6 linked regions of the Oryzias latipes genome follow. The protein of the gene in region 4 purifies or fractionates together with the protein of the main gene of each other region. This does not show direct contact. Links are inferred from orthologs where the notes say so. Each region holds a gene or a part of one and is shown on either strand. Other genes may lie near its edges.

Evidence for each region.
Region 1: the proteins of anapc1 (region 4) and cdc27 purify together in Homo sapiens (affinity purification with mass spectrometry; 16 studies listed by BioGRID and IntAct, with this or other methods). This does not show direct contact. The link is inferred for Oryzias latipes from reciprocal best matches to the Homo sapiens genes ANAPC1 and CDC27.
Region 2: the proteins of anapc1 (region 4) and lats2 purify together in Homo sapiens (affinity purification with mass spectrometry; 3 studies listed by BioGRID and IntAct, with this or other methods). This does not show direct contact. The link is inferred for Oryzias latipes from reciprocal best matches to the Homo sapiens genes ANAPC1 and LATS2.
Region 3: the proteins of anapc1 (region 4) and anapc4 purify together in Homo sapiens (co-purification; 13 studies listed by BioGRID and IntAct, with this or other methods). This does not show direct contact. The link is inferred for Oryzias latipes from reciprocal best matches to the Homo sapiens genes ANAPC1 and ANAPC4.
Region 5: the proteins of anapc1 (region 4) and anapc2 fractionate together in Homo sapiens (co-fractionation; 8 studies listed by BioGRID and IntAct, with this or other methods). This does not show direct contact. The link is inferred for Oryzias latipes from reciprocal best matches to the Homo sapiens genes ANAPC1 and ANAPC2.
Region 6: the proteins of anapc1 (region 4) and anapc7 fractionate together in Homo sapiens (co-fractionation; 6 studies listed by BioGRID and IntAct, with this or other methods). This does not show direct contact. The link is inferred for Oryzias latipes from reciprocal best matches to the Homo sapiens genes ANAPC1 and ANAPC7.

What each region holds. Positions count from the first base shown.
Region 1 is NC_019866.2:74,817-78,785, reverse strand, and holds the start of cdc27 (cell division cycle protein 27 homolog), read right to left. Parts: upstream 2,801-3,969; 5' UTR 2,015-2,800; coding exon of another isoform or gene 1,988-2,014; intron 1-1,987. Other genes in the region: somatotropin, read right to left, coding at 3,320-3,382, 3,451-3,597, 3,671-3,814. UniProt on the Homo sapiens protein: Component of the anaphase promoting complex/cyclosome (APC/C), a cell cycle-regulated E3 ubiquitin ligase that controls progression through mitosis and the G1 phase of the cell cycle.
Region 2 is NC_019879.2:11,533,461-11,536,960, forward strand, and holds part of lats2 (serine/threonine-protein kinase LATS2), read right to left. Parts: intron 2,081-3,500; 5' UTR 1,741-2,080; coding exon 1,408-1,740; intron 1-1,407. UniProt on the Homo sapiens protein: Negative regulator of YAP1 in the Hippo signaling pathway that plays a pivotal role in organ size control and tumor suppression by restricting proliferation and promoting apoptosis.
Region 3 is NC_019862.2:1,185,730-1,190,003, reverse strand, and holds the start of anapc4 (anaphase-promoting complex subunit 4), read right to left. Parts: upstream 2,801-4,274; 5' UTR 2,739-2,800; coding exon 2,631-2,738; intron 2,553-2,630; coding exon 2,447-2,552; intron 2,375-2,446; coding exon 2,242-2,374; intron 2,162-2,241; coding exon 2,087-2,161; intron 2,009-2,086; coding exon 1,982-2,008; intron 1,911-1,981; coding exon 1,866-1,910; intron 1,780-1,865; coding exon 1,695-1,779; intron 1,554-1,694; coding exon 1,446-1,553; intron 1,369-1,445; coding exon 1,198-1,368; intron 563-1,197; coding exon 498-562; intron 384-497; coding exon 341-383; intron 264-340; coding exon 187-263; intron 112-186; coding exon 11-111; intron 1-10. UniProt on the Homo sapiens protein: Component of the anaphase promoting complex/cyclosome (APC/C), a cell cycle-regulated E3 ubiquitin ligase that controls progression through mitosis and the G1 phase of the cell cycle.
Region 4 is NC_019873.2:15,519,425-15,522,924, forward strand, and holds part of anapc1 (anaphase-promoting complex subunit 1), read right to left. Parts: intron 2,951-3,500; coding exon 2,868-2,950; intron 1,858-2,867; coding exon 1,779-1,857; intron 1,654-1,778; coding exon 1,579-1,653; intron 560-1,578; coding exon 507-559; intron 431-506; coding exon 277-430; intron 155-276; coding exon 1-154. UniProt on the Homo sapiens protein: Component of the anaphase promoting complex/cyclosome (APC/C), a cell cycle-regulated E3 ubiquitin ligase that controls progression through mitosis and the G1 phase of the cell cycle.
Region 5 is NC_019866.2:2,382,402-2,386,471, forward strand, and holds the start of anapc2 (anaphase-promoting complex subunit 2), read right to left. Parts: upstream 2,801-4,070; 5' UTR 2,592-2,800; coding exon 2,493-2,591; intron 2,094-2,492; coding exon 1,844-2,093; intron 1,782-1,843; coding exon 1,460-1,781; intron 1,388-1,459; coding exon 1,255-1,387; intron 1,195-1,254; coding exon 1,014-1,194; intron 939-1,013; coding exon 819-938; intron 467-818; coding exon 349-466; intron 242-348; coding exon 63-241; intron 1-62. UniProt on the Homo sapiens protein: Together with the RING-H2 protein ANAPC11, constitutes the catalytic component of the anaphase promoting complex/cyclosome (APC/C), a cell cycle-regulated E3 ubiquitin ligase that controls progression through mitosis and the G1 phase of the cell cycle.
Region 6 is NC_019867.2:25,467,751-25,471,869, forward strand, and holds the start of anapc7 (anaphase-promoting complex subunit 7), read right to left. Parts: upstream 2,801-4,119; 5' UTR 2,679-2,800; coding exon 2,578-2,678; intron 889-2,577; coding exon 702-888; intron 1-701. Other genes in the region: ubiquitin-conjugating enzyme E2 G1, read left to right, coding at 3,498-3,540. UniProt on the Homo sapiens protein: Component of the anaphase promoting complex/cyclosome (APC/C), a cell cycle-regulated E3 ubiquitin ligase that controls progression through mitosis and the G1 phase of the cell cycle.

The sequences.
Region 1 (3,969 bases), on a different chromosome or scaffold from region 4:
AATCTGAGTGCAGCTAAGAAAAAAACAGTCGGCACAGGTTGCTGTCGTTCTGCTTTGGCACAGGTTGCTGTCATTCTGCTTTGGCACAGGTTACTGTCGTTCTGCTTTGGCACAGGATACGGTCGTTCTGCTTTGGCACAGGTTACTGTCGTTCTGCTTTGGCACAGGTTACTGTCGTTCTGCTTTGGCACAGGTTGCTGTCATTCTGCTTTGGCACAGGTTACTGTCGTTCTGCTTTGGCACAGGATACGGTCGTTCTGCTTTGGCACAGGTTGCTGTCGTTCTGCTTTGGCACAGGATACGGTCGTTCTGCTTTGGCACAGGATGCTGTCGTTCTGCTTTGGCACAGGTTACTGTCGTTCTGCTTTGGCACAGGTTACTGTCGTTCTGCTTTGGCACAGGTTACTGTCGTTCTGCTTTGGCACAGGTTGCTGTCGTTCTGCTTTGGCACAGGATACGGTCGTTCTGCTTTGGCACAGGATGCTGTCATTCTGCTTTGGCACAGGTTACTGTCGTTCTGCTTTGGCACAGGATACGGTCGTTCTGCTTTGGCACAGGATACGGTCGTTCTGCTTTGGCACAGGATGCTGTCGTTCTGCTTTGGCACAGGTTACTGTCGTTCTGCTTTGGCACAGGTTACTGTCGTTCTGCTTTGGCACAGGTTACTGTCGTTCTGCTTTGGCACAGGTTGCTGTCGTTCTGCTTTGGCACAGGATACGGTCGTTCTGCTTTGGCACAGGATGCTGTCATTCTGCTTTGGCACAGGTTACTGTCGTTCTGCTTTGGCACAGGATACGGTCGTTCTGCTTTGGCACAGGTTGCTGTCGTTCTGCTTTGGCACAGGATACGGTCGTTCTGCTTTGGCACAGGATACGGTCGTTCTGCTTTGGCACAGGATGCTGTCGTTCTGCTTTGGCACAGGTTACTGTCGTTCTGCTTTGGCACAGGTTACGGTCGTTCTGCTTTGGCACAGGTTACGGTCGTTCTGCTTTGCCACAGGTTACGGTCGTTCTGCTTTGGCACAGGTTACGGTCGTTCTGCTTTGGCACAGGTTACGGTCGTTCTGCTTTGGCACAGGTTACTGTGGTTCTGCTTTGGCACAAGTTGCTGATGTTCTGCTTTGGCACAGGTTGCGTCATCATTTTTAAATATTAGATATTTATTGAATATTAGATCAGAACTTTGATCTACGTTTAAAGGCAAATACTTTTTTAAAGCTCTAACATTACCATACCCTCCTGCCTGATCAGGGACCGGCACACCTGAGCTGTGACGTCAGTCGGCGCTGGTTACATGCAGTATTTCCGTTTACCAACAGCTAGCTAAAAAGCTAGTTTAGAGCTAGCTGGTTAGCCGACGCTAACCATGCCCCGCTAAGCGTGATATGTTGCGGGTGCCGTGAGGCAGAACTGTTGCGGGAACCCCACAGCGAACCTGGAGAACGGTTCGGTTCAGTCTGAAGCTACAGAACCTTATTCCTGCCGTCGAAAGCGGGTTGTTAAGGCGCTAGCCGGTTAGCTAGCAGATCTAACGTTCCAGACAAGTGTTCCAAAATCCTGAGGACCACCTCTAGTCTATCCAAACCTGAACTAAACTTGACCCAGTGACGGTCTCACAGCGGGGACAAATCTTTGTCTTCTCCGCTCGATTCTTTGCTGCGGAAGCTACCAGGAGAGAAAACGTTCCAGCCCGTTTACGTGTCAACGACAGCCGGGGGACCGGCGTCCTGACCAAGTTACGCGCCATGGAGCGGATAAACCGGCCCTCTACGAAGCTTGGCCCGCAGACCGAAAAGAAGCACACCGCTCAGCCCCGAGCAGATGCCGGGAAGGCGCGGAGAAAAGGCTCCGGGCGAACTTCGAGGCCTACGACGGCGGAAGAATGCTGTTTTAGCTCGGGCTGAGCCTGAGCGAGCCAGATGCTGAGGCCGGTGACGGCTAATGTTCGTATTCCGGTTCGTGACAACGACCTAACGGCGTTTTCTTACCTGGACAGGTTCCTGCAGCACTGTCATCCCGCTTTAGGACTCTGTATCTCTGCTCCAGGGACCTCTCTCCTGCTTTCTTCACGGCTTTCTTCAGCTCTATCTCTGCGAGGAGCCGATGCGGCCGAACATTTGAACGTCCGACCGTTACCTTCCGAGTTTTGCCGGAAAACGCCGAGCCATAGGCCTAGAACACACTGCCCTCTAGCGGCAACAGCAATAGCAGGTAGAATAGCTGTTTGACGCCTACTGCTGGCAAGTCTTGGTATCACTTTTTTAAGTCAGTAGCGGAAAATGTCATCAGCTGTTATGGAGCAAAATCTGCACCGTGTTTGTTTGTTTGAAGGAAAGATTTTTCATTCGACAAAACAAAAGTTAAAACACGTTAATGTTAAATACTAAAATATGTCACGAAATAACATTCAATTTTTTTATCTTTTACAAAAATATTCTTTTACACTTTTTTAATAATCACCTTAAAGTTTGCATAACTTTTTTAAATGTATAAATTTGGTGTTGTTTTTTTTTAATTCTTTAATTCAAAACTAAAATTTACTGTTTCAAATATTCCTTTTTTGAGTTTTGGATTAGCTGCATTATTTTTTCTGTGAAACTTAACTTTTCACTTTCAGATCAAATTGTTTAGTGTAGGTCCAAGCGGAAAATGTTAATGAAAGAGAAATATTGCTTTCATATCTTGTAAAGCATGCTTTCAGCAAGCAGCTGTTTGTAAATGAACCTCAATCTCCTGTACACTGAAAAGTTCTATAGGCAGAAGATGGACACCCTGGTGGAACATTTTTTGTAATTTTTTTCTTAATTCTTTTTTTCTATTAGCAAATATACATTTTTTTACAAAACCTTTTTCGTTCATAAAGAACTGAAGCCCATGGGTTTTGTTGGTTGAAAGGGTAAAAATGACATTGACGGGTCTCAGAGAGATAAGTGAAGACTTGTGACAGATAGTAAAAAGTTTTCTGTCCCGCTCCTAAACAGCTTCTTTGCTGCAAATCAGAGCATTTATGAAGCACATGAATGTTAAAATAAAAGCCAAACTTAAATGCTGCAGCTTCATTGCAGCTGAAAGCTGGTGAAGCTGCTCCTACGATGAGGTCCCCTTTGCCCACCCTGTCATGTAGAATAAGACAGGTGGGAGTATGGAGAACACGAGAAACTCAGATTTTTATTCCATGGTTTCTTTAAGCTTCCTGTTGTTTTCAGAAAAAGAGACACTGAGAATGCAACACAAACTTTATTATGACACCTCCTATTCCTGCTAATGCTAACATAATTATTTAAAAGCGGAGTCTATTGTCATGGTGGGGGGCAGCATGACTACAGGATACAGTTTGTCTCTGGAGACAGTCGACATTTAGCCACAGTCAGGTAGGTCTCCACCTGCAAAAACAGACATTTCTTTGTCATCATTGTCATTATCATATCACACTTGCTATCCTCCTTCTCACCTTATGCATATCCTTCTTGAAACAAGCTAGCAGTTCGTAGGTCCGCCGCAGTGAGCCATCGGCTCCAAGTCCATGATAATAGTCTATGTACTCCCCCAGTGGAAGAGACAGGGTGTCTTCATATATCTCAGCCACATTCTGATTGGCCTACAGTTCAAGTAGTAGCACAATTGACGTCAAAGCCAAAAGTCATGTGTGGCAGGTTTGTGCATGTACTCACCCTGATCAGAAGAAGAATTCCTGTCTTGAGTTCAGCCAGTTTGGGTGAGATTTGGTTCCTTGGAGCAGAACTCCCAGACAAAGAGCGACTGGGTAACTCCCAGGATTCCACCAGAACATAGCAAATTGACAGCAGCTTCTGAACCTGGAACCAAACACTGGTATCAATGAGGAGTAGCTGTGTTCTTCTCATCAGTTTTAACTGTTACTTCTTTACTGGGATGTTCTGTCCGAAATGGGTACTTTGCCATGCTTCTGCATCGCCTCTTTTTATTTATTCAGTTAAACAAGAACAGTCAA
Region 2 (3,500 bases), on a different chromosome or scaffold from region 4:
GCTTCGTCACGGGGTTTTCAACCACACACACCAGGTCCTGACTGGACAAACTGCATTTTGTGAACACAGTCCATGATTGAATCAGTTGCTTTAATCGCCCCCTCAAGCGAGCCCCACTGCCTTCTCTTCAAAGCACATTTCAACAGCTTCCAATAAGAAGATAATGGGAAGAAAACACACAGAAGGCTATTCAGCAGGAACTTTTAAAAATGTGACCCAAAAATCAGAGCAAGTAGATTTTTCCAACTAAAGACGCATCGGAGGGAATCAAATCTAAACGTTTGCACATGGAATTGATTTAATTCTCCAAGCTGAAGGTGAAGCAACATCCAAATAACGTTTAGTTTTACGTGAAAGCGACCCATGGAAACATTCACCACTCTGCAAGGGGGATAACAGGAAAAAATGCCAAGCAAGCCAGTTGAGAAATCCACCTGATATTTCAAGATTTCAACACCACTCAGTTATGCAACCAGCTCACCATTCACTGGGGGGGGAGCGACACACACACTTGTACTGAATTGCATTGAAGAGCTCAAAAAAACACAAAAAATTGTTTTGGGTGTTTTTAATAACATGTTCTTGTAGCCTTTTTTGATGATAAAAGACGTATATAGCAAAAAATTAAGATTAAGACTACATTTCTGACTATTTCTTTATTCAAATCCTGCCATTTGAAAAAAACTGTTTCTGATGGATCCATTTACAGACAAATAGATCCATGTACGTCTTTGTTTTGCTCGGCTGAGCTGGAATCTGGATCAAAACTGTACGACTGGCTCTAACATTGTTCACCATTTTTGTTCCACCGCTAGTGTTAGTTTGGGCTTGTGAGGGCTGTAAGCTAGCAGGAGAGAGTGTGATCAAATGGATAATTGGAGAGAGTTACTTCCATGCCATCAGCCATCAGTTCCCGCCCACAACTCCGAAGTGAAATTCTAATAAATTCCTGCCGCTCTGCAGAAACTATGTCCTAGTAAACGACAGGTTTATGATTTCGGCTAAAAACAGCATAATCATAATTAAAAGACCACTGGGAACGCTCTGAAAATAGAGCTTAAGATGATCAGACTGGGACTTAAAACCAGCATTAACCTGTAAAAATGAGCAAAAGGTGTGTGGTATAAACCACACAGCTGTGTCTCACCTACCTAACCCTTAAGTGTTGTTCAGTTGTTTGAAAGGACATGTTGCCTGCAGCATACCAGCAGGAAAAACTGTGCACAAACATTCGCTGTTTGGGTTAACCCCATACAGGTGTGTCCATTTTTCCCCTGCAGACAGCCCTTATCTACCTGTAAGGGCAGTTGTGACTAAGGCATAACCTTAAAGAAGAAGCTGAAACTACTTGAATGAGTCCATACATCAGCCCTTAAATGGTCAAGGATCAAATCTACTCATCTTCACCTCATCACATCCTGCGTTGACCAGCTCGTGCAGCATCTGTCGGTTCACCTCTCCGGCCTCTCCAGACTCGTTGGCGAAGGGCATGAGGGACTTGCGGATTTCTCTGAGTGCATTCTGGTAGTTGTTGAACTTCTGAGGCGGCCGGAGCTGCTGCTGTCGACTGGTTGTGTCCTTCCCGCTTTTCGAGTCGGAGCCTCTCTCAGAGCGGGAGCTTCCTCCATGCAGAGCTTGGCTCACCAGCTTGGCCGGCTGCTTCAGGCCTTCCTTAATCTCCTGGAGCCTCTGTCGCGTGTTGCCCACATACGGGGCTGCTGGGAAAGTCTTGGGTCTCATGGTCTGAGAGCCTGTGCCAGGGCACTAACTCTCAGAAGGAAAGCCCACACAGTCAGTCAGAAACTAGAGCAAGCTCCCCTGCACCCTCCCGAAAACGTCTCAAGCTATCTGACCTAAATAGATAAAGAGCCTCTGGGAGCAGTTCCTGTGGCCCTCAGTCGTTTGTGTCACACTGGGTGTCTCTGATTCCTGCTGTTGCTGGTGGGGTGGACGAAAGGGACGCACAATACTACAAGCATTCCATGGTGTGACTTCAAGGCTCGGGTTCCAACTTATTCCAGGAAGTGGAGCTGCTCATGAGGGCACTATGGAGCCAAACCATGACGGTGCCCATCTGCGCCTGTAAGGGAAAACACAGAGTTAGAATATGAAGATTTCAGCTATGCACTCTCCATCAAAGTCTCCATCTTGAATGTGAGAATGGGGAAGAACATAAAAAGGGATCCAACCTTCTTCTGTAACATAAGGTGAAGGACCTGGAACTCCAAATATGTTCCCAGTGGTCACAAAATGTCAAAACTGTAACCTAGGAGACTATTATTACCTGCAGGCCTGGGAGTCAAATTCCATACCAGCAGTGCATAAGCTCTGGGGCATACCTTCTGCATAATTCAGGAATACCAGTGGTCATAACCCCCCCCCCATGCATAGCTGCAGTTGCACCACTGAGCCACCCGCTCTCACTGCATAGTACTTCATCGCAGTCATCCATGAACACGCCTCCAAGAGGAAGGGGTCACATCAAGCGATGAAGCCCCTCTGACTGAGATGCTCCCGGACATATAACCCTTGTCTTATCTGGGAGGGGACATGCTCCACATTCTGCCACTGCGGCGTTATTCCTGCATTGCAGACAGGATGACGTGTGGCATACATGTTCCTAAATGAGGCGTCACGTGAGGAGCGAGGTGAGGCCTTCATTTAGATTAATGCTGACAGTTGGAAAAATAAAAGCGCAGCTGCTGTGACTCAGATTAGTTGCAGCGATATTGTCTTTTGTGCTTTCAATTTTTCCACATTTTCAGTTTTTCTGCTTTCAGAAAAATGACAAAAACTCAGTGTTTCCACAGCCATTTCCCCTGAAAGTCCCTAAAGAAGTCCTCATGTGATGACTGAGTTTCCGTTTTTCAACTGGTTCAGAAAAGCAAACCTGAATTAAACTCAGAGCCTTTTTCGTTTCAAACGCTAAAAGGCATTTGGTGGCATGAAAACGTCCACAGCAGCTCAAAACTTTCTGACAAAGTGGACAAACTCTCTATCTGAATGTATAAAAATCTCCATTCTATCTGATGCACAAAATAACTGGAAAAGTGGAGTAACTTTATGTGCATTTCCATATGAGAAACAACGAGGGGAAGGGGGCGGGGTTGTTCTGCCAAAGGTCTCAACCACAACTCACAGGTAAATTTCTAATAAACTACTGCTTCTCTGCATAAACTATGTCCTAAAAAAACAACAACAAAGGTTTTGATTTGTTTTTTAGGTTAAAAAACGGCATAATGATAACTAGAAGAACACTGGGAACGCGTTACAATAGATCAAAAGATGATTGGAGTTGGACTTTAATGAAGAAGAATAAATATTTCAAATTTCAACAATGCAACATCACAACACACCTTGACCTCTTTTTCTTTACAGCAACATAGTTTAAGGAAAAAAAAGCTATGTTTTATTTTTGTTTTTTAAAGAGATTAACGAAAGACTTAGGTCAATATTTTCCTAAAATAAACCCTAAAAACCCTCTAACTCATTGCACAGAT
Region 3 (4,274 bases), on a different chromosome or scaffold from region 4:
GAACTCGTACCTTCTATAGCAGCAGAATCTAAGCCCAGGGGCTCAAACTTCTGCCTCCACAGAGACATCCCTCTCACCTCACTGAGATGGTACAGCAGAGCCTCGGAGCCACTGCAGGAGGCAGAAGAGAGGAGCATGAGGAGCATGAGGAGGAGCACTGACCTGAGGACAGAAGGGGGAGCGAACCTCTGCAGGTGACTGATCACCAGCTTCTGGATGCTGGAGTAAGAAGACTCGATAGACTGGCCAAGCTTCTTCAGACCCTAAAGGGTGAAGGAACGGAAAGATTTCAGTCTCAAGTCCTCAGAAGGAGGTGGAGTCTGAACTCACCTCTCCTCACCTTTACAGTCAGCTGGTTCATGAGGAGAGCCTGAAGTTCAGGACTGGAAAGGATGAAAAAACAGTTAAAACAATTCCTTACTCACTGCTACCATCCACAGGACGGTCCAGGCAATACAGTTCAACCATGAAGACAACAAAGGAGGTTTGCTTTCCACCTGGACTGTCCCCACAGCAGGAGCTCCAGAAACTCATCCTGAACCTGAGTGCTCGTGTTCTTTTCCTGGGAACACAGAAGACATGACCCTGAGTATGGTGGCCCTGAGGTCCCAATCACATTAACACAAACGCATGTTAAGACCAGAATGACAGTTAACAAAGCAAAACTAAAAAACATCATCTTTTGGAAATCAAAACAAAATTCAGGAGACTGAAATGTAAACAAAAAGATTCAGAAAAAAGGAGTTTCCATAAGTTAATGTTAAAATTAAAAAAGAACTAGAGAAACCAGAAGAGGCAGGTCCTTTGAGGCATTGCTGATTGGATGATGACATTTGAGTTGTGAAGAAGAGGAAACGCAGAAGAAGGTTTCACCTGAACTGTGGCAAACAGCTGATTAAACAATCAGCAAACGTGTGCAGTGGGCGTGGCCAGAAGCTTAAAGAAATCTCCTCTGATGGAAGAGATCGCCATGACAAAGAACTTCCCGCCAAAAAGGTGAACAAACATCATCATCCAATCAGAGACGTCCCCTGATACCCACCTTATTATTATTTGGTCTGCTTTTTTCATTTACCATGATTTTCTGGTGAGAGATTTGTTGATGTGATTTGCACATCAGGGCCACCGTACTAAGCCAATATGCGCTCAAATGTTTGATTCTTCCTCCAGAGAAAGGCATTTCTTTACCAAACAAACCTGAACAAACTTGGTGAGCCGAAGGTCCATCTGCATGAGGATGTCCTCCCACGCCTCACACATACACGTCAGAGAGAGATGCAGGTACTGCAGCAGCGTGGAGATGAAGGTGAACTTCAGCGCCATCCGGGTGACCTCAGGCAGGCAGTCAGACAGCAGGCCTGTGTCCAGCTGACGGGCAAGGAGGACGCATTAGGAACACAAACAGAGCATAGATACTCAGAGAGAACCAGAGTGGATCACCTCACCTGGATGTAGCAGATCTCTGGGTTATTGTCAGCAGACCTGACCTCTGCGATGACAGACAGAGACCTGAGATCACTGGATAGACACAGATTGCGGCACGTTCCAGTCACCTGCACAGCAGGATAAATCCAAGAAAAACAGTTCAATCTCCAGGCATTTCAGGATTACTACCAATTAAATCTGTAATACAAGTAAAACCCCTCTTTGGTCACTTTTAATTGTTTGTTACAATGTCAAGAAAGCTTTCTTACCCCATCCACAGCTGCTATCTTATACATCCCATAAGCATAAAGCTCCACAAAGCCAGAATCTCCTCCAAGAACAAGAACATTCAGTCTGCAAGGAAAAAAAAAAAAAATCACTCTTACAGTCGTGGAACCATTTTCATTCAATCCTCAAAAACTGTCACCTTGTTTTTTTACCTGGCATCTCCCAAGAGATTGAGTATTTCATCTGACTTCTCTTCACTGTGACAGAGGGAAGAACACTCAGGAAAAATTCAAACGCTTCCAAACATTCATCATGAATGGTGTCTCACCTGAAGATCTTTGAAGTTGTGCTGTAGCTGTGGAGGAAAAACAATGACTGCATGGAGATTGCCAGTAGATGAGATTTGAAGCAATGCACGTCTTCATGGCTTTACCTTTTTGGAAGGGTTGGGATTTTTGGGAGAAAAAGTTTGGATTCATCCTCTGAGCTGTAGAAAGAGCTGAGGGAGCTGGAAGGTAGAGAACGATAACTTAATATGATTCCTGTCTGTTTGGTTAAAGCATGGATATCCCTTGAGCCTCTCTTCACCTGCTCTCATCCACGACCTCCATCCAGTGCATGCAGGTGACGGCGCTCTGCACTGGGAACACGTGAAGGATTTCTGCCTTCTCAACCCCACAAAGGACGATCTGCTTTGTGTCTCCGAGACTGAAGGCCAGTGCTGGAGATCAAATGGATGAGCAGAGTATAAAATCCTCACATTCAAGTTGAAATATGTCGAGTCCACCCTTACTTTTGCCATCTGGTCTCCAGGCAAGCGCCGTGATCTCTTTCCCGGTGCGTTCAGTAGGTGGTAAACTCCAAACCCGCTGGAAACTTGCTAAGCGATGCAGCAGCAGCTATGAAAATCAAAACATTCAACTTTGGATAAAAAACCAGCATAAAGAGTAAGAGGGTTTTCAGGAGCTGAAGCTCACCTCTCCAGCCGTGTTGGCCAAAGCGATCAGATCCCTCTTTGGAGACCAGGCCATACACAGAACAGGGTTTGGAAGCTGCTTCTCCCCTACCTGCCGGAAGGCTGGCATGATGCAGCCCGCAGGTGGAGCGGCCCACAGGTGGAGCGGCCCACAGGTGAAAGGAACGCAGGTGGAGCGGCCCGCAGGTGGAGCGGCCCGCAGGTGGAGCGGCCCGCAGGTGGAGCGGCCCACAGGTGAAGTGGATGTAGGTGGAGCGGCCCGCAGGTGGAGCGGCGCCGACAATGACTGGACGATGCTCTTCTGGGACAGTTCCACCTTTTAAAAATCTCAATGGTTGGTATTCTGAATCTGTCCAGCTGACATGACCTGCAGAACATGACTCCATTATTCATTCAGCCTGTTCTTGTTCTTCATTTCCTGTATATTTGATCAGATGGAACATACAGCAGGTGGCTTTTCAGATGAAACACGACACCTCTTAGATTTACATACCTCTGTCATATTAAAAAGCAAATAGCCCAAACCAACAAAACAAGTCAGGAAAATAATAACAATTAATGCAAACAATATAATCAATCCACTAACTGTGTTTTTTTTTTGTATCATTCATTTTTATTTCAAAAATGTTACGTCCATTTTTTAACCGTTTCTACTATAAATCAAACGAAAGAAAGAAAAGATTTTTCAGCCAACATCAATACAGGAAATCATAACCCTTTAATCTAAAACCAAATAATAAAAATAAAGCTTTTAAGTCGATTCTTCGCTGAGAAACTCACTTGTTCAGATGAGATGTGACGCTTCCAGCTGTTAGCCGTTCAGCGGATAAACACGACTCTGTTTGTTTCAGTCCTTTACCGTCTTAGAATGACAACACAGAAATAATCCACATTAAAGATACTCTTTTGACGGTTGATCCAGAGTCTGGCGGTAGATTTTCCTGAAGTCGTTTATGCAGCTACTGAGACGCCGCCATACTTTTCTCTCGACCAATCACTACGCAGCAACGGCAGCCGAGAGGAGACAAAGTTCTTAGAAGACAAAACCGCTCCTTGAAAACTAGCAACAGTTTAATCGATGGAGCCCGATGGTCAGGGTTATGTCATGGAATTCCTTAGCAAATATTAGCCTATTTCAGTTTACTACAAGTATACTTAGTAGTGATGGATGAGGATGAGTGTATTGACATATTACCCAGACTGTGTCGACTCTGTATTGACGGTGTTGTTTCCTCTAGTGACCGCTGACATAATAATCAAATCATTGCGGTAAATAAGTAAGTAAAATAAGATTTAGATGAAAAAAGCAGTTAAAGCCCCACTTAAACAAAATATGTATTTTATATTAATTTTATTTTATGGAATTATAGCATGTTTTGTAGCACATTTCTCCTGAAAAAAATCTCATGTTTCTCATGATAGAGGACATAGAAAAATAACATTAAAACTGCATTTTTGAGTATTTCTTTATTCAACATATGGTGAATTAGGAGCAGACAAAAACTGCCATTTTAAAATTTTGTAGTTATTATAGAGACTACAGACAGCAAGTGACCAGCTCCCAGCTCTGCTCCATTCTGATGCAGACCAACAGATCCATGAACGTCTGTGTTTTCCTGCTCTGAGCTGGAATCTGGATCAGAAC
Region 4 (3,500 bases):
CCATGTGGAAGCCATAGTTCATCTCACCACCGGTGCGCTTGTGGAGGAAGCGACACAGCTGCAGGACCTTCAGGTCTCCAGTTCCAGCCATTATCATGGACATGGCCAGAAGAATCATTGATAGGCCCGTTTGCAGGTTGTAATAGCTGGTCTGCTGGAAGAGTCGGAACAATGTTTGGACAGACAGGGAAAACAACGACAAGATACATTTTTTATATAGCATCTGTCATGAAATTTGAGAGGTCAAACTAGGAAGATCCAGAGGAAATCACTCACAGCGCCAACAGGAGCTGTCCCAGCAAAGGCCATGATCTTCATGAAGGTCTTGGCAAACTCATGAAGGCAATCAAATGCATCAGAATTCGCAGAACCAGCAAAGCGTAAACCTAACGCCATGCAGGCTCCAGCAGTGATGTAGTCTTGAGCTTGGCTGATGTAAACAAAATGTTACGTTTAGTGAAGTAGAAGGCAAATTACCGAATAAAAAATGTTAGAAAAACACTCACGTCATTGCATCCATATTAATGTCCTCTGAAGGGTCAACATTTTCCCTGATTATCTACAACCAAAAGAGAAAAACAGGTGACAAGTTTCAGCAGTTGTTCCACTGCTGAATGATGTTTTTGATCAGTCAGAATATAAATAAAAACATATGCAACAGTACAGTTGATGGAGTGAACATTTATTCATCTAATATTGAAACAAATACTTTTAGAGTTTTATAACCAACAGGTTTTACATCCAACTGAAAAACCTCTGTACTTTTTCCAATAAGGAAAATTCGTGTCAAGTTAGTGATCTTCCTTCCTGAGGGTGAGATCCATTACCCAAAAAAATAAGTATAAGATTCGATTCACTGCCTACCTTCACTTCTATAGACTATGGGAGATTAAAAATTGTCTTTTGTGAACTTATTTATCTTAAACTATTAAGGAGTTCTTCAGGGGGTTTATCCCAAAGGAAGAGTTAAAATTTAATAAAACCATAGTGGACATTGATACTAGAGATCAGGGTTTTTTGGCCCTGATTTGATTCTAATTCATCTGATTTTAAGAATTTGGTGATACCAATTACCAATCGGATCCTTTTGTAACACGTTTAAAAGAAATGAATAGATTTAATAAACAGACCCAGGTTTTTCTCTGTTTTATTCACCTTCTTTTATGATTTAAAAGTTAAACAGAGAAATTGTGCGTAGTAGCTTGAACAATCAAGCAAAGATAGTGCAACTATCAACTAGAAAAACAGTTAACTATTAACTAGTTGAAATAGTTTATAGTCATGTAAAAACGTTTAGTGACTGTAGCTTTAGTATCTTCTATTAAAAATGAGTGATGAATTTCTTTAAATTCCTTGTTGTAGCATAAATATGAGCTAGTCATGAAAACTCATCATATCAATGTCACCATTTATTAGCTTTTATTGTTTGAGAAGTTACAGATTTTTCTTCTTTTTTTTTTCAAATCACTGTTTTTTGGAGCTAGCACTCTGTAGTCGGTCCCACATGATCAGATTGCAACATCCCTAACAGGGAAAACGGATGATTACATCACTACTTCTGGGTGTGTATTATCTCACCTGGGGTATGTTACTCTTGACCCATTCAGTATTAGGAAGGATTTCATCCCACATGATTATACATCGAGCAAGTGTCTAAGGAAAGACATAAAAAAAAAGATACACCTGATTCAGAGAAGGGAAAAAAGAAACGAGCAGCACCTCACTGTCACATAGAAAACCTCATATCCACACAAACAAACAGCCGATGGCACACCAACCCTCAGCAGCAGAAACTCTGGCTTAATGAAGTCCAGCAGGAACCAAGTGTCTGGAGGTTTCAGCCAATCAGCAATCGACCTGTGGTATAGAACCAGAACCAGAGGATGTGTTAATATCTTCCTTTAACACCTTCTATGCCAAAAAACCAGAAAGCATTAGATGAATCTTGGAGGAATCAGGAAGTTCTTGACTAGTAGACAATCGTGAAGTGGAGGAGTCTGTGGAGTGTTTTTGTGGTGGAGGTTACGATGCTCTGATGTCCACAGACATGGAGATAAACAGAACAAAGCTCAGATTCATGATACTTAGAAAAAGCTATGGATTGGATTGATTTAATACACTGTAAATAATTATAATATAACTTCATTTGTAAATGCAAATAATTTGTTTCAGAAAATAAATGTTAGTACAAGAAATCTTATAACTATAGATTTAATGATTTGTAGGTATGGTGTCAATTGATAAATGTATGGACTGCAAACGTGTATGGTTTGCATTTTCTACTACATACATTACCATAGGAGTCCTACGCCTATTTGATAACAAAAACGTATGTATTGCACAAAATATGAAAGAACATTTGTCTATTTTTGGCAAAGACTTAAGTTAGTACCACCACTTTTAGAGTTGTGCCTCAGTTATTATGCTTATAAAAGCACATTTATAAGTTTATAAACTATTTTATAATTTAAAATTAATTTAATAAAGGATGGAAACATTATATTTTGTTCTTCTTTAACTAATGCTTGATGAAATCTTACACTTGTACTCTAAGATCTGCCGTAAAACAGCAGGGCCACCCTGGAGATGTTCAGGAAGTTCTTGTTTGTGAAATAAGATGCTGGTTTCCACATCAAGGGAGGGGAGGAAGTTTGCATAAGCAATAAACAGATGTGATGGTTTAACGAGTTGATGCACTGGTAACCAGGGATGAATGCTCTGGATGTTTTGGTTTTGGATTTGCAAAGGAATGTGTGCAAAAAGATCATTAACAGTACAATTACCAGGTCACACAGGTCTATTAACTTTACCAAAATATTTTTTTAAAGGCGATAAATGTTGTATGAGATTTGATTGTCTCTTCTCACCTGTTATTGGTCTTGAGGTAGATCATGGCGAGGGCCAGCGTCGCCCCAGGACATGTCACATCCACATTTATGGTGTCACCTTCCTATATCAAACGTCTCCGTTTAAATCTCAGTTTATTTTGGCGTATTTTATTTTACTTTATTTCAGCACACAGCACCGGTTCCTAACACAGGTCATGGCAAAGCAACATGTACAGGCTGCAAACAAGTTCAATAAAAGTCTGGATTCTCAGGTTTATTCCTTTTCCTCTTAGATCCCACTTATCTTTTCATGAAAGCAGTTTTTGCCTTTAGAAATCTTGACTGAAACAATAAAAAGAAATTCAAACAAAAAAGAATCAGCCATGCCACGCAGTCTCATATTAATCCAACTGGAATATAAATCAGTTTGATCAAAAAAACGAATCAACAAAATTCATGTAAAAACTAAAACCGATTACATTTAGGTTAAAGAACTAATTTTGTTAGACAGGGACAGAGAAGGTTTGGAGTAATAAATACTCTTCATAATTTGCGTGTGTGTTTACGGTCTGGCTCTTCTGTTAGGTTTGTAGGTTAATAAGCATCATAATTTATAACGTTTCATTAAGACTGTATTTACTCTGTAATTAAATCAGATTTGCTTATAACAGC
Region 5 (4,070 bases), on a different chromosome or scaffold from region 4:
GGTCAGAGGTGAGCCGAAGGGCCGCAGCGGAGCGACTACCGTCGCACCACGCCATCACCGACCGGGCACGGCGTCCGTCGGGTCCGGGGTCCAGTCCTCCGGGTCGGTGCCTTCGTCGTCGCTGTCCTGCATCTCCAGCGTCACCGGGTCTCCGCGGGACAGCTCGGAGGCCAGGTCGGTGCAGCCCTCCGCATCTCCGGTCAGACCCGCCACGATCTGCCGCACCGTGTCCTCCCGAGTCCTGAACAGCAAGAGGCAGCGCTGCGGTTTAGACGGTTCAATGAACACATTTCTAACTGAAGCGGGTTTCCTGAAACCGCCTGTCAGACCGCAGACACGCAAACTCACCTGAGGTACTTTCTGATTGGCTGACAGGCAACCTGCAGGATGACCATGGACGGGTCCAGCTCTCTGAGGGCTTTGATGGCTGAGATGTAAACGGTGAGGATGTCAGAGGTGTGAACTCCTGCACACAAGTTGAGGATGAGGATTATTTTTAAGAGAAAAGCATTCAACAGAATCAGGAAACCTTTGGAGGATCCAACAGGACAGTCGGTCCTCCACAGGTTCTGGAGAGTCGTGACAGAACTTTACACCCACTGAGCTACAGGTTTTATTTCCCCTCACTGCTGCTAAGCCGCCGCTCAGGTAGAAACCGGCATCTTGGGTACCGACGACCTGCTGATAACGACCGGCTTCTGTGGTACCGGCCCGCCGCTGACATCTACTCCCTGCTTAGCTACATACAGACCTGCTGCTCGGTTACCAAACCACTCGGTTACCAAACCACTCGGTTACCAAACCACTCGGTTACTTACCCGGGTGCAGCAAACGGCTTTCGAAGGCAGATTTCAGGGAAGTGAGGAGCTGCTGTCGCTGGTTAGTTCTCTCCAGGCAAAACTTGAGATCCTCAATCGCAGCTTTGGATTCTGGGAAATCTGCACGAGATATGGAGCAAAGATGTTAGACAAAAACAAACAAAAAAAAAACTCCGTCGGGTTGGTGAGAGTCACCTCTGATGATGCTGAAGAGCTCCTCGATCCTCATGTTGACGTAGATCCTGCAGAAGAACTGGTGCATGTGGCACCTCCACTGCTTCATGACCGGACTGGCCAAAGATGCTGGTGCCGGACCGTCTCCCGACCCCTCACAGGCAAAGACTTTCCCCAGCCAGCCGAGCACCAGCTCCAACCACTGCAAGGCGGAAAGGTTCAGACGGAGCCGACCAGGGAGCTGCTACAACGGATGCCTCACCTCCTGGAAGTTCAGCAGGAAGGAGCGCTCGTACTCGCCGCGGCAGTGCTGCTCCATCCGCTGCTCGATGAGCTTGTGGAGGATGGAGGTGACGGCCTCTGAGCTGACCCAGTCCAGCAGCTGCAGTTTGGACCTGCAGCCACAAACAGCAGGTCAGACTCTGACAGACCACAGGAGCTGCAAGGAGCTTCGCTCTGGTTCTCACAGGATGTGGCTGAGCTGCTGCAGCTGCTCCAGGGCCTCCAGACACCAGCACTGGTGAAGCGGGACCCCACAGCCCGGACAGGCCCCTCCCTCAGAACCATCCGGAGCCTCTGCCCCATCCTCGGCGTTCCCCTCCTGCTTCATGTAAACAGAGAAGGTCCGGCTGTAGAACTCCAGCACACGCTCCTGCAGGACAGGAGATGGCGAGAAGAGCAGGAGCGCTCTGATGGTCGTGAAGGCCTGCTCCTTGAGCCCTTTGGGTCCCGGCCCGCTCAGACCACAGCGGCCCTCCTGCTGCCACGCCCCCAGCTTCTCCAAACCACCTAAGGAGCAGACGTGTCAGAAATGTCCGACAGCAGTGGACCCCCCGGTGTCTGGGTCTTACTCAGGAAGGGTTCCAGGCGGTCCAGCAGAGTCCTGAAGGCGGTGAGGAGAACCCAGGCCCGGCCCCTCTCCTCCAGCTCGTTCTCCGGCTGCTTCAGTCCACACCAGAACTCTGGAACCACGGAGGACGACAAACGCATCTGCAAGGTCTCCAGCAGCCACACCCCGAGAAGAGGAGCCAGACCCCGACGGCAGAGCAGAGCCAGGCCGTCCACGAGGTTCTGATCCGACACCGAGAAGCCAGGAGACACCTGCAAGAGAACCCAACGCAGAGCCTCAGCATCCGTCCAGAAGCTGCTGTACGTGCTGATGCCAGAGCAGATCCTGGGCTCGGATTGGCTTTTACTTTTAGTTCAAACACAGCAATGAAGAACTTTGAACCAGTTTTTTCTAAACTCAGGTGTGTTTGAAAGGAGGAGCAGATTTAAAAACGCCTTCAAAGCTTCATCTGTGACTGATATACAAATGAAAATATCACGCATATAGATGCAGTCTAATGAGTCTGATAATGATCCACAGATTGTTTTAAATGTGTGAGATTCATCAAAGTGAACTACCACCAGATTTGGAGACGTGAATAACCTCGATAAACTGACGTCTCACTCATGGTTGGACTCCGACACTGAGGTTCGGGGTTCGGGTCCACTCACCAGAGCCGCAGAGACCGAATCCCATGCAGCCGCGACACCCTGGACCGGTTCGGGTCCAGACATTTCCACAGACTCCGAGTCTTCCATCATTTCCTCCATTTTATGGGTTTTTCTCCTCAATTAACAAACCGGGCGGAAGTCCAAACAGGCGCGTGCCGGTTTTAAGAGGTTTAGTTGAAGGTACAAATACACATTATTTCTCCAAAAACACAGTAATATACAAAGAAAAAGATACTATTTATTAACAAAACAAAACCACGTGACCCCTCCTACTGAATGGCGGGTTCAGATCTTCTTTGACTTCTTCTACTGTATTTAGCGCTGAAAGATGGCAGTGCTGCCACCTACAGTTGTTAATGCGCATCGTTCTGTTTTTTCTTCGTTGTTTTAGTTGTTTGCATGATGTACGTGCAAAAAATTTAAAAGTTGTAAAAAAAAGTAGTCAAAAGTATTTAAAAGAAGTCTGTTTTGCATTTTGCATTTTTGTGAACAACTACTGCCCTCGTGTGGACAGAGTGGAAAACTGCAACACGTAATGTTTGTAACAGCAACTAAGAGCTGGAGAAAAATTATTTACCAAATTAAGTTAATCTTTATGTAAAATAATCAACATCGATCAAATTAATTTATTCAAAATTAAATGTCTCAGGTTGTAATAAAAAAGCATATTTATCTTATCTTATCAAAATTGTAACATTTACTAAAGTATTTACGAAATAAATACAATTAAATTAATAACTCAGAAAAAATGATTATCTTGTTGAAAAACTTAAAAAAATCAAATTTTACCCGATCAAAAATGTTTTTACGTGTGAGGATGGGTTATGACATGATATCTGCCTCAGTGGGCAAACAGATACAACAGAACAATGATTTATAATGGAAAAACACACAAAATGTGATCACAGTCAAAATCCTTATCGCCCTCTTGTGGACAAACTGGTGAACTGCAAGACAAGTTACATCCACTATGTATTTTCACGGAAACTATTTATTTTCACGTTTTTGAAAATGTCTCTGCATTTTCTTTACTGAATAAAATATAAGTTTAAATGTTAAAATAAACAATTAATTTCTAAATAAACTGTAATTTTTTTACCGGTAATTTGGTTTAGCAGGAACCAATTACCCTGTTTAAAAAAAAATTCTAATTAAGTTTGCAAACATCTTATCTAAGTTTTCCCTATAGACAGACGGATTAGTGGTTAAACATAATCTGTCTTATTATTAACTGTGTTTGCTTTAATTAACATATCCTTGCTGTTGCACCAACATCAAAACTGTTTTGTTCGTTTAAAGAAAAAACAAAAATTATCTGCCGACAAACAGCATTTACTTCCTTAAACGTTGTACTGAGCTATTTCCAATATGACATTAGGATTTCATATTTTAAATGTAAATGTTGAAAAAAATCTATACTTCTATTTTAACTTAACCTGAAAGAGGAGGCTGTAGTTAACCCCCGGAGCATAAAAATCTAAGTCTCACTTGTTTTAAAATATCAGCATTAATGTGATGTCACACAAACAACATAATCGTTGTATATCAAATTGTTTTTTACCATTTTTCTCACTGTGA
Region 6 (4,119 bases), on a different chromosome or scaffold from region 4:
CTTTCAGCCCCAACCTAAACATATTAGTGCAACAAAAATAGCTAGCAATATTGGAACTATCCAACCATCTTAATAGTTTTGATTCAGATGCCAGCTTGGAGGGGGAAAACAAAGAAGTACACGGATCTATTTGTCTGCAAGTGGATGTATCAGATTGGAGCGGAGCACGGAGCTTGTGGCCGTAACAAATACAATCTTTTTCAAACGGCATTCTTTAAATCTGCTCCTGATTCACCAAGATTTGAATAAAGAAGTACTCAGAAATGCTTTTTTAAGGTTAATTTTTCTTTACATATGTCCTCCATCAAGAAGAAAATGCCACAAAAAAATGTAAAAACTGTTTTGAATATTACCTGAAGATGAGGAAAAACAAACCAAGAGGTGCCCTTCAAGAGTCACTTGAGATAAAGACGTCTGCTGCCAAAAATGTGTCTATGCAAGTGATTAAAAGGTAGTTTCCCCACTCTAGGATCAGTATTGGTCATAGATCAAAAGCAGCAGGCCAGCAGACACTTTCATGGTCTTCAGTGTTATTATTTTCTTGCATATATTGTAGGGATGCAACCATTAACTTCTGAGATCTATCTATCTATCTATCTATCTATCTATCTATCTATCTATCCATCTATCCATCTATCCATCTATCCATCCATCCATCCATATTTTTTTTTCCTAAATGTGTTGAAGCATAAAGCCCTCACCTGTGTCTGCATGTTGGAGGCTGCTCCACCAGCTGATGTGCGAACCTTGGATGTTTTGCTGAGCACCTTCTTCTGCTGCAGCGCCATGCTGTACTTGCAGGCCGCATTGCGATATTCCTTATCGTGAAAAATCGCATCGGCGTGGTAAACCAGCAGTTGGTACTTCTGAGCCGGTGAGAATAGTTCACTGGAGACAAAAACGAACAAGTTTCATTTAAAAATAACTACAAAGCACAATACCTCTATTTTATGGCACTAGCTTCGCATTTAAAGTGTGCAACGTTACGAAAACAGCAGCTGTATAAAAAATTACATTTTGATTACGGGGAGTTCTGGGGGGTATTCCAGAAGCATGTTTAAACTACCCTGACTTTAAGCCTGAACTCTGGCTGAAATCCGCCTGAACTTGCTTACTCTGGGTATGTCGGTTCCAAAAAACCGGATATGAGTTAGCGTAATTACGCTCCACTTGGTAACCCTGGGTTAATGCACGTGCACAGCAAGTACATAAAGACATTTTCAATGGATTGCCGATCTACGGAGTCACCATGGAAACGCGTGGTGAAAAAAAGAGAGCGCTATACGTCAGTGAGACGGAGTCGGAGATTTGAATGACGGCGTATGAAGATTAAAAAAGTAACACGGCTGCATCAGCAAAAGAGAGTTTCTGCTTGGAGAAAAAGAACGGACAAAGTAAACACAAGAGTTTCTATCTCATTTCCATTGTGATGTGTATATATATATATATATATATATATATATATATATATATATATATATATATATATATATATATATATATATATTTATAAAACTTATCCAACTTAAATGAATTAATTCAATTGGTAACAAGAAATTGAGTTAAATATATTTTTTACGTCTATCCAACTCAATATTTTTTTTAACTCAAATTTACATATTTATCTAACTAAATGTCATATCACTCCAATTCAATTAAATGTTTTTTCATCTTAATTTATTGTACTTCTTGAACTCTCATGTGTTTAAGTTTGAGCCTGCAGATATGCTCATTTTTACAACAATAAAATGCATGAATCAAAACAGATTTGCAACATGACACGTAACTGACTTAACAAAAAACAAAAAAGATTTATCTCAACTAAAGCAAATAATTAAGTTAGATCAATGTAACAAATGTTATCTTTCCAACATCCATATGTGGTCTTATCACCCTCTATGGTGGAAAAAGTATTATCTGAGCTTTTTCATCCACTAAATCATCTTCAAATGGACACACCATGCTGCCTTCACCTCTCTGAAAACAAACTAACCTTCAACTAAACCTGTTCCAGACCGGGTTATGTTCAGAGCATGAGTTGCTATGGCAACTTGACATACTGTGAAACAGACCTCCACTGTTGGTACCGAAAACTGAGATAATCCGCTTCATTAGCCTTAAACTTGCCGTGGTAACTAGCATAACCTGCTTTCTGGAATACCCCCCTGGTACATCTTCTTGAATATAAATGTGGCGAAAGAACAAATAGTAACATCTAATCAACTCCGGAAAATGAAAACATTTGATTAATGTAAATAAAGAAAACATCAATACATGTGAACAAAGTGGGGGGATTTGAGTTCAAACATCCCTCAATGACACTTCACCAAACTGTTATTGCCAAAGTCTCCACATGGCTATGTAATGGAGTGAAGGCTAACTGTATGCATCTCATAACACAAGCTAAGCATGTAGAAAGAAGCTGTGTAGGCTGCGCATTCAAACAATAGCGTAAAGACTACGACAATATGTTTTTTTCATATATATAAAACTGTCGCGACAACGGAGGAAAACCACAAAACACTTGCGTAGAGACTCATTCGGGAAATAGACGGGTCCCAGTCAAGCCATACTTACGGATTGTTATTGCTCATCGTCAGCAGCAAACTGCTCACAATGCGAACATTGGAGTGAAGGCCGGCCGAAGCCATGTCCCGAACGTGATCAATAACATTCATTTTACCGAAAAAATGCAGGCTCTTCTACAGGTTTCGGTGTGAAGTTAGAACTTTTAGCTAAAAAATATCTAGCCTCTGATGTATTAAATATGGCGCTCAGCAGCCTTCCTTCCGTGCACTGCTGCATTTGTAGGTCTGTACAAATTAGTTTTAGCAGACGATTCACGAATGACAGGTTAAGAGCGCAATCAATTCACCCTCATACAATCTTAGTATTTTTATTTAAATCGTTTTAGTTTACACATTCATCATGATGAACGTAAATTTAAACATTTGTTACTTTGTTTTTGTTCTTTGTAACAGTCTTCAATGTGAATTTGATATTTCCGATGGTTATGAACGCATCTTCTGCTTTTCACTGTATGTTTGTATTTAGCTCAAAAATCGACTTTCGCGTGAATAATTGAAAATTAAAGGCTTACTTTATAATTGTTTATTTTTTTCAACCATGTATTATTATGTTCGTGTGCCGAACGAGTTCTTCAAACATGTAGATGTCAACAAACATACGGAATTCAAATATCCAAAAAGCCCCAACATAAAATTTCTAAATTGAAAACATTTCAAACAACGAGGTATTCTGTGTATTTTTAATGCAGTCCTTTTGTAAGTCTAATTCATTGGCAGAAAGATATTTTAACAACACGAACGCGTGGTCAGCTTGAAGCACGCATGCGCACTTAAGCTAGCACCTGAATCTTGTGTCAAAACACGGAGCCAAGCGGCGGCAGCAGCAGCAGCATCGCAGGACCTCCTCTCTGTGTGCCAGAAGATATTTGTCTATACAGACAGTTTTTTTCTTAGTTACGTACGCGTACCATGACCGAACAATCAGCATTACTTCTTCGAAAACAATTGGCAGGTAATGTGATCGCATTCTTTGATATTAAAATTACAGGGAGAAAACAGCTAGTTATGTAGCAGCAATAGGCTAATGCTAGCTTTTGTGAAGCTATGTTTACGCTGTAAGATTCTGGTTAACAGGCGCTTTAATGACCGAAATTATCAGGACGTGAGCAATCTACTTGAGTTAGATGCCCATTTGTGTGGCAAAATTATGATTTCAACGTCACGTTGGAATAAAAGATAAACTAAAACCCACGCAGACCAGCAACGCCGACCGTCCTAGCAAGCTAGCAACTTCGGCGTTATTTAGCGGGCAGAACAAAGGAATAATGAATTCAGGGGCTCACAGCCCTTTTGAGTTTAGCTTTACCAATGATACACATGAATACCGTAATACGTTGGGCAACACACAAACATATATTTTCTTAGTAAACGTAATTGAAAATGTGAAACTCATTATTTAGTTATGTAAGATAATATCTAATCACTTTCTCTGGTAGGATGATAGCGGTACCCGTTGGCATTTTTTAAGTATCGAACGAAGCCCACACAGGAAAATAAATGCGCTGCTTTTATATTGACTAATTTTAAGAGT